Linked DNA regions of Rattus norvegicus. The protein of the gene in region 1 binds, or shares a complex with, the protein of each later gene. Links are inferred from orthologs where the notes say so. Each region holds a gene or a part of one and is shown in the gene's direction. Other genes may lie near its edges. The genes, in order: Yap1 and Smad1.

What was found.
Region 2: the proteins of Yap1 (region 1) and Smad1 are in contact, whole or in part, in an NMR structure (PDB 2LAW), measured with the Homo sapiens proteins. The link is inferred for Rattus norvegicus from reciprocal best matches to the Homo sapiens genes YAP1 and SMAD1. Residues at the interface, in NP_001123617.1 of Homo sapiens: Glu237, Ala239, Met240, Thr241, Tyr247, Ile249, Asn250, His251, Lys254, Thr255, Thr256, Trp258; in NP_001003688.1 of Homo sapiens: Thr222, Pro223, Pro224, Pro225, Ala226, Tyr227, Leu228, Pro229, Pro230, Glu231, Asp232, Pro233.

The regions. Positions count from the first base shown.
Region 1 is NC_086026.1:13,448,497-13,452,966, reverse strand, and holds the start of Yap1 (transcriptional coactivator YAP1 2), read left to right. Parts: upstream 1-1,529; 5' UTR 1,530-1,742; coding exon 1,743-2,018; intron 2,019-4,284; coding exon 4,285-4,470. UniProt on the Homo sapiens protein: Transcriptional regulator with dual roles as a coactivator and corepressor. Critical downstream regulatory target in the Hippo signaling pathway, crucial for organ size control and tumor suppression by restricting proliferation and promoting apoptosis.
Region 2 is NC_086037.1:45,469,326-45,473,140, forward strand, and holds part of Smad1 (mothers against decapentaplegic homolog 1), read left to right. Parts: intron 1-1,048; coding exon 1,049-1,305; intron 1,306-3,815. UniProt on the Homo sapiens protein: Transcriptional modulator that plays a role in various cellular processes, including embryonic development, cell differentiation, and tissue homeostasis.

The DNA.
Region 1 (4,470 bases):
GAAATTTCTGTGTTTAAAATCAGTGTTGCACAACTCTGGAAATATACTCAAAAAGCACCAAACTGCTTAAGTGGAAAACTATAGTTATGTGAGTTATATTTCAATGAAACTATTTTTTGTTCTGTACCTCATGACTTCAACAAGGGACTGAAGAGATGGCCAGTCACGAAAAGTACTGGTTCCTAAGAGGATCCAGGTTCGAATCCCTGCAACTACATAGCTTCTCACAACCAGTTGTACTCCAATTCCACAGAATCTAACACCCTCTTTCGGCCGCTGTGAGACCTAGGCAAAGACATATATAGTCAGGCAAAACACCCAATATCAATAATTAACTTAAAAAACACAGATTTTTATCATTTTTTATTCCAAATAGGCTTCTGATAGAAGACTGACACACAGAGAACGGGGTTAAGGTGCTCTCCATTGAGGTTCGTGTCCTGTTCTCTTCACATTGTCTAACCTTGTACCAAGCACAAGAAGGAAAACCAACATGCTCCTTCAAGTTCAACAGTGACTTTTGTTTGGAGTTGATGTTCCCAGTGAAATATCAAGTCTTGATGTTAAAAAATTGGCATGATTTTTCACTTAAAAAAATGGTTTGCTGAGCAAGGCTGCCCACATTTGTAATCCTATCCCTTTATAGGCTGAGGTAGGGGGAGCGGAAATTTAAAGCCAGCCTCAGTTATGTAGTGAGTTGAAAGACAGTCAGTGCTCCAAGTGAGATGGCTCAGGGTACCTGAGTTCGATTTCTGGGACCCACAGTCAGGAAGAAAACAGATCCCAAAAATTGCCCTCTGACCTTCACCTGTGCAAGTGTGCTCACTCAATCAATATAATTAGAAAGAAGAAAGGAAGGAAAGAAGGAAGGAAAGGAAGAAAGAGAAAGAAAAGGAAAAGAAAAAAGAAAGAATAGAAAAGGAAAGAGAACGAATTTACAAAAACCGGGCTAGCAGAGGCCCTCACTTGGGAATCCTAGTAGTCGGGAAGTTGTGGCACGAAGATTGTCCGGAGTTGGAGGATATCCTTGGCTACAGGGCTAAACCTGCTTAAAACAAAACTTTTTAAAAAAGTAATACTATGCTTCTTTTTGTTAGATACTCTGAGTCAACTCCTGGTTCCAAGCTTCACTATGTAATCATTTACACCCGCCCTCAAGTGTTTTGTTGTTTCTTCTTCCAACTTGTGGTAAATGGAATCAATGTTAAAACGCGGACCGGATTAAAATCAGTGCAGGCGAACAGCGTCGCCTTTGCATCCAGCCTGCCCAGCGGGCTGTCGGGATTTCTGGCGGCCTTGGCGTTGCGCGCCGGTCCGGCAGGGTCTGCGCCCGCAGACGCGCCGCTCCGGGCCGGCCGGTGGGTGCGCACGCAGCGCGGTCGCCTCCGGGTCACGTGCGGCAGGGAGTCTGCAGGAATGTAACGACGCGCAGGGAAAGTTTCCCGGGGCCCGCGGATTCGGTGCGGGCGGGCGCGCAGAGGAAGGAAGAGCGACGAGGAGGCGGAGCCCGCGAGGCGCGCGGGCGGGCGCTCCTCGCAACTTTTTAGTTTGGGCGTCTAGAGCCGAAGTTTCTGTCTCAGTTGGGACGCCGCCGCGGCCCGGGGCAAAGAAAGGGAGGAAGGAAGGAGCTCACGAAGGGGAGGGGAGGGGGCCTCGGGCAAGGAGTGCAGGGCGATGCGGGCGCGCGACGCAGCCCCCCGAACCTGAGCGCAGCGCCCCGAGCGTCGAACGAGGCCGCAGCCATGGAGCCCGCGCAACAGCCGCCGCCCCAGCCGGCCCCGCAAGGCCCCGCGCCGCCGTCGGTGTCTCCGGCCGGGACCCCCGCGGCCCCGCCCGCACCCCCGGCGGGTCACCAGGTCGTGCACGTCCGCGGGGACTCGGAGACCGACCTGGAAGCGCTTTTCAACGCCGTCATGAACCCCAAGACGGCCAACGTGCCACAGACCGTGCCCATGAGGCTTCGCAAGCTGCCCGACTCCTTCTTCAAGCCGCCTGAGCCCAAGTCCCACTCGCGACAGGTAAGGACAACGCGGGGGCCCGGGGCCGCGTGGGGGTGCTGGGCTGGGGGTTGTTTTCGCGGAGTTGGCGGCCGCGGGGGCAGCACAATGCGCGCGCCTCCGCTCCGCACCTTCGCTCCGACCATGGGGGAGGGGAGGTGGGGGGAGGGGGCCCGGCGTCCCGTGCAGGACTCCAGGCCTGGGGTACACGGTCTCCCCTTCCCGCTCCACTGGAGTGTCCCGTGGAGCCGCGTTAACTACCCTCTTGTTTTCCCGTGTCGGTGAGGGGTGGGGGTTGAACCGGTCCATTGAGTTTCTGGTTCCTTCTCGTCCCCTCCCCCTCCCTCTCCCGAAAGCTTTTCTGCTCTCGCGGCCCAGGCGCGGTCCGGGTGCAGGGTTCGGTCTCCCCTGCCCCGGCGATCCCGAGAGTTGGCCGAGCTCCCTCGTCCTCCGCTCGCCTCTGCGGTACCCTGGAACTCGCGCGGGCGGGATCCTTTCACACTCGGTGGGCTCACGTGTCCCTTTCCCAATCGTAACCTATTATTTACTGTTCGGCCCGAAAGCTTTTAAATGAGCCACGTCTGTGCGTTGCGCAGGAGCTCGGCGCGCTCACGGTGCAGAGGTTTCTGCGCTGGCCTTTGATAGCGCGTTGCAGGTTGACTCATAGGCCGAGTTCTGCCTGGCTCAACTGTGATTAAAGGTAATGTTTGGGAAGCAATGACTAATTCCAGGCTCGCCATTGCTCTTTAACTGACTGCGGATGTGAACATGGCTGCTTATCCACATCCACGACGCCTGGTTATTTTCCCAACTGGATCCAACACAGAAGTGAAACCGTTTCAAAGTATTAACATTCCGATAGGTCCTGGTAGATTTTTCTTCAGTGTCTTTTTCCCCTCCCGAACCCCCCCCTCCCCGCTTTCTCTTTTTAATTACTTAATTTTTAAAGAACTTGCTTTAGGCTAAACCAGTATAGGATCTTTGCCCAAAACTTAATTGGTTTTCCAAACACTGCCATGTTGTTAGCCCACTCGGGCTGTAACTTGAGTGGAAAGAAGAGTTTCCGCCCCCACTCCAGCCCCCCTCCTAGGCAGGCCTGCTGTAGAACCGGGTTGTTGGAGCCACGAAAATCTCGATTAACCTCCTACAAAAAGTCTACTTACGGAGGAAGGAAAAGTTATGTAGCTGCTAGTCTAAATAAACTCTTAATTTGTAACAACAGTAGACCTAGATACTATTCATTGCTCCCTCCCCCAAGTGGGATTCTGTACTCACTGAACTAATGTATGTTGGCATGCAATTGAGAAACGGTCGGGGAAACTTTGAAGGAATATCCAGACTGAACGCTCCATTTTGTAGCACTTAGCAGTCAGAAGGAATGTACCCGGGAAAGTATGCAGTACCTAGTTCCACTGGGTCGTTCGTGGGTACTTTTGCCTTCTCTCTATCGTTTTCAGAGAAATTCACCTTTTCTATGTGCTAATGATTTCCTAAAATTTAATCTTACCTAGAAACTCAAAAACAGGGGTTTTTGCTATGGGGCTTTAAATGACTGCTGAGGCCCTTCAGTCTTCTTATCAAAATTAATTTAGAAAAACAAATGTTTTGATAATCCTAGTTCCAATAAAAGGATTAGATTATGAATAGTATGTATCTGAGTTTGTAAATAATCATCTATAGGCTCCTGCCTGAGAATTCTTATATCCCCTCTGGCTTGGAAAAACTACTTTACAGACAAGTTCATTCCTGATACCTGTCTAACATTGATCTGACTAGACCCCAAATTCGAATCATTGGGGTCTTTGCAGATTTTTCCTTTCTCCCTCCCCCTGTTATTTGTGTGTGAATCCACAAATTAAAACTGAATTGATAAAGTCTTTATTTTCTAGGCCTGTTCTCTTCATTGGGGAGCTTTTAGCATTGGTGCAGTTCTGAGCCTCTGAATTCATTAAACGTATAATTTATAATGGTTGATTTATTGATCACATTTGTTCACAGTCAAAGTGACAGATGGGGGGGACATTAGATATTTAAAACAAAGAAAAAGTGCACAGTCATCTCCAGGTTTTGTTCTAGAACCTGGAAAAGCAACCACACTGCTTAGAAAAATTACTGATTTATTTATTTTGGGTTGTATGGGGTAATCATTGTTCTCTGCTGCTAAGTCACCTTATTAGCCTAGTCCTTGTTTTCACACTGTCTAGGGGGCAGACATTAATTCACATGGACTGTTCGTCAGTGAAGTAACATTTACATTGTGCTGACTTTCCTTTGCTGTTCCTCATAGGCCAGTACCGATGCGGGCACTGCTGGAGCCCTGACTCCCCAGCACGTTCGAGCTCACTCGTCTCCAGCCTCCCTGCAGCTGGGGGCCGGGACACTCACGGCCAGTGGTGTTGTCTCTGGCCCGGCCGCCACCCCTGCTGCTCAACATCTCAGACAGTCTTCCTTTGAGATCCCTGATGATGTACCA
Region 2 (3,815 bases), on another chromosome or scaffold:
GGTTGATAGCAGGGCAGTCAGGCAGAGGTTTAAAAGTTTCTCAGAAGCTTTCCTGATTGCAAAATCAACACAGTGTATGCACGCTCATAAGCATTGTTTTCTGTCACTGAAGCACTGTTAGTATTTTCCATTCTTTACGGTTTCACACCCTGCCTTGATTTTCTAAGATGAGAAGTCATCTTTATTACCAGGAAGAAAGTTTCTTTTCTTTTCCGTAGTTTTCTAGCCCTATGTATCGGTAGAGATGCCGCATGGCGTTTCCTCGGACAGTCACGGTAGCGCCGTGCCCCAGGCATGGACAAGGTTTGGAGCCACACCACTTTTGCTGGGTGCTTGTTCCCCCTCGGAGGCTTTGAGGGCTTTCCTTCTCCCTGTTTTTAATCACTTCCTGTGTGACGGGAGTCACGTGGCATCCAGAGGGCAGCTTTGCAGGATTGATTCCCCCACCTTCAGCAGGAAAGGATTCAGGCCGCTGAGCCCTCCTCCCCACCTTCAAGGTGGGGTGCTGGCATTCATTCTAAGCTGGGAGACGTTTTCAGGCATTGTTTGTAGTGGTTATTTTGGTGAGCTTCTATTTCACACACACGCGCGCGCGCGCCTTTTTTCCTATTTCTGAAGCTTTTGTTTTTAGCTGGACCTCCCACCTTTCAGCCCCCAGTAGGACTTCTTCCTCCCGGGTTTCATCCCTCCGTGTTTACTGATCATCGCTTCCATCTCTCTGAAGTTTTCTGAACAATTTAGCCCTGGCATAAATGCAGGGGACTTTAAACACACAGGATGCCCCAGTGAACTCTAGGTCCTACTGCACTCTATTTTTAGAGCACAGATATACTTTCAACCCTGGCCAAGTGGGACATTAAATACTTACTGAAATGAAAGTGTTATACTTTATTATTTTTGAGAGACTTTGTTATTTCCTGAACATGCTGACTGACACAAGGGTAGCATAGTTAACTCAGAGATTTGTCAGAGCAGCCCAGCCTGACTGCCAGGGCACCTGTCATCCAGATAACAGCCGGCTGACTCGGTCTGTCTCTGTCTCTCACAGGAGTCCACCTTTATTACGTCGGAGGAGAGGTGTATGCGGAGTGCCTCAGTGACAGCAGCATCTTCGTGCAGAGTCGGAACTGCAACTACCACCATGGCTTTCATCCCACCACGGTCTGCAAGATCCCCAGCGGGTGCAGCTTGAAAATCTTCAACAACCAAGAGTTCGCTCAGCTACTGGCGCAGTCTGTGAACCATGGGTTCGAGACAGTGTATGAACTCACCAAAATGTGCACTATTCGAATGAGCTTCGTGAAGGTGAGCAGTGCCCACCCATCTCATTCAGGCTGGATACACACATACGCACACACAACCACACACATACACACAAACATACATACACCCACACATGCACACACAACCACACACACACCACCACACACACACAAAACCACACAACAACACATACAACCACACACACACACACAAACATACACACAACCACACACTCTACACACAAAACCACACACACAACCACGCATACACACTCCACACATAAACTTACACACTCCCTCCATTACACACAGATGCTCACACACACATCTGTGCTTCCCCCACCACAAACACGCTGCACACACACACACACACAGAACCACAGACACACCACCACACACAAACATACACACTCCCTCCATTACACACACACAACCACACACACACAACCACACACACACAACCACGCATACACACTCCACACATAAACATACACACTCCCTCCATTACACACACACATGCTCCCACACACACATACATGCTTACCCCACCACAAACACTCTGCATACACACATGCACATGCTTCCACCACACACGTACACACTCTCTCGCAGAATATGAATCTGTGCCTTCTTGGTGTATCTTCCTTTTTCAAACCTCTACAAGAGGGTCAGTGTCCAAAAAATTGTCTTTGGAACATAGCGATGTAATCTCTCACCGTGTGGGTCCCAGGGATAGAACTCAGATCCCCAGGCTTGGGGGCAGGCACCTTTACCCAGCTGAGCCATCTTGCTGGCCCTGGTCAGACCTCTGTTGCTAGAGAGAGGGTCTGACATTGCCCAGGCAGCTGGGTCGATGGCACTGGGGAGGTGTGTCAGCTCTGTGTCCAGAGTGGCTAGGCTTCCTGACCTGTGTGCTGCCATTGCCCCATTGTGGGGTCTCTGGGACACTAGGCCAGTACTCTCCCCACTGCACTATGTCCCCAGCCCCATAGCTGCTGTCATAGCATAGGGAATGCTATGTATTCAACAAGTAGCTTAAATGCATGGCCGTCCTGTGAGATCAGCTTTCTTCCTCCTGTTCTTTGCTCTTAGCTCTGAGTTCACAGGATGCTGGTGCCTACTGGCTGTGGGCTGAATGCACAGGATGCCGGTGCCTACTGGCTGTGGGCTGAATGCACAGGATGCCGGTGCCTACTGGCTGTGGGCTGAATGCACAGGATGCCGGTGCCTACTGGCTGTGGATCTGTGGTCAGCGCATGACCGTTTAGGTGCCTTCAGCAGTTTGATTCCTGGGACCCACATGGTAGAAAGAGAGAGCCAACTCCTACAGGTTGTTTTCTGACCTCCACATGTACACACACACAGGGCTGGGAGGGCAGTAAATAGATGTAAAAAAAAAATAGTGAAAGATGTATTTATACTGGAAATTCTTTTTAGTTGATCAGATGCTTTTCGTTAAAATGTATTTCTAGTAAATTATGTGTTTTGTGTATAATTGAAAAGTTAGCAAGGCCCTGGTTCCAAGAGAATTGTGTGATATCAAAAAAAGGAGTCATTGCTTATCACAGATATCTCCTCAGTCCTCTTCTGCCACTAAAATTGAAAAATTTTTTTGATGCCAATGAAATGTTTTTTAAAAAGGGCACATCTGATGACAGCACATTCTAGCAACCACCTTGTCTCTGAAGCCTCGAAGATAAGTCTTTATCCCGCTTTACCTTGAGGAAGAGCGCTAATTACAAACCTGGGCGAGGCAGTCGTCTTTCATGTGCAGTCTTCAAAAGCTCTGTGACTTCTCGCCGGGCCTGTTTAGCGGTTCATCACCGGGTGATTCCAGAGCTGTGCTCTGCCCATCATCACCCAGATCAAAGGCACCCTTCCCCGCCTTAGCTGAATGTGGCACCTCTTTAATATTAAAGGAGGCCTTTTTTTACCCCTTAAAGAAGTTGACCTGTATAGTGTGTGCAAATACAACCACGGAGCCTGTCCTTGTTCATTTTTCACAGGCACCATTTAATTTTTGACTCAAGCATTTTGGCTCAGGCGATTTACAAAATGAGACCAGCTTCTTGCCAAAGTGGTTTTTGTTTGGAAGAAAGAACCCTTGAGAGCGGGGGTGTTTGGACTGTGGTGGAGACATGGGTTGTTCTCAGACCTCCTCATGGTCTGTAGGGCTGGATGGATCTGGGCCTTTGGTAACCGTGCCTGAGGTTCCTTGGTGGGCTGTGATTATTGAATTCTTGAAGAAGTTTTGACTCCAATAAGCTATCTCCTTGGCATCTGTTTCCTACTGATCACACTAACAGTTAAATGTTACTTTTGTACAACTAAAAACATTTATTTACACTAAGGTATTTAAAAGTTTTTTTTATTCATATCAGTGTGTATATTTATGACCAAAACGTGTGTGTGTGCTGCTGGAGGCCACAGAGGGTGTCAGAGCTCTCGTAGCAGGAGTTATAAGCTACTGTGAGCAGTCACGGGTGCCTGGAACCAAACTCAGGTTCTCTGGTGGGGCAGCAAGTGCTCTGCTAAGACATCTCTCCAGCCCAA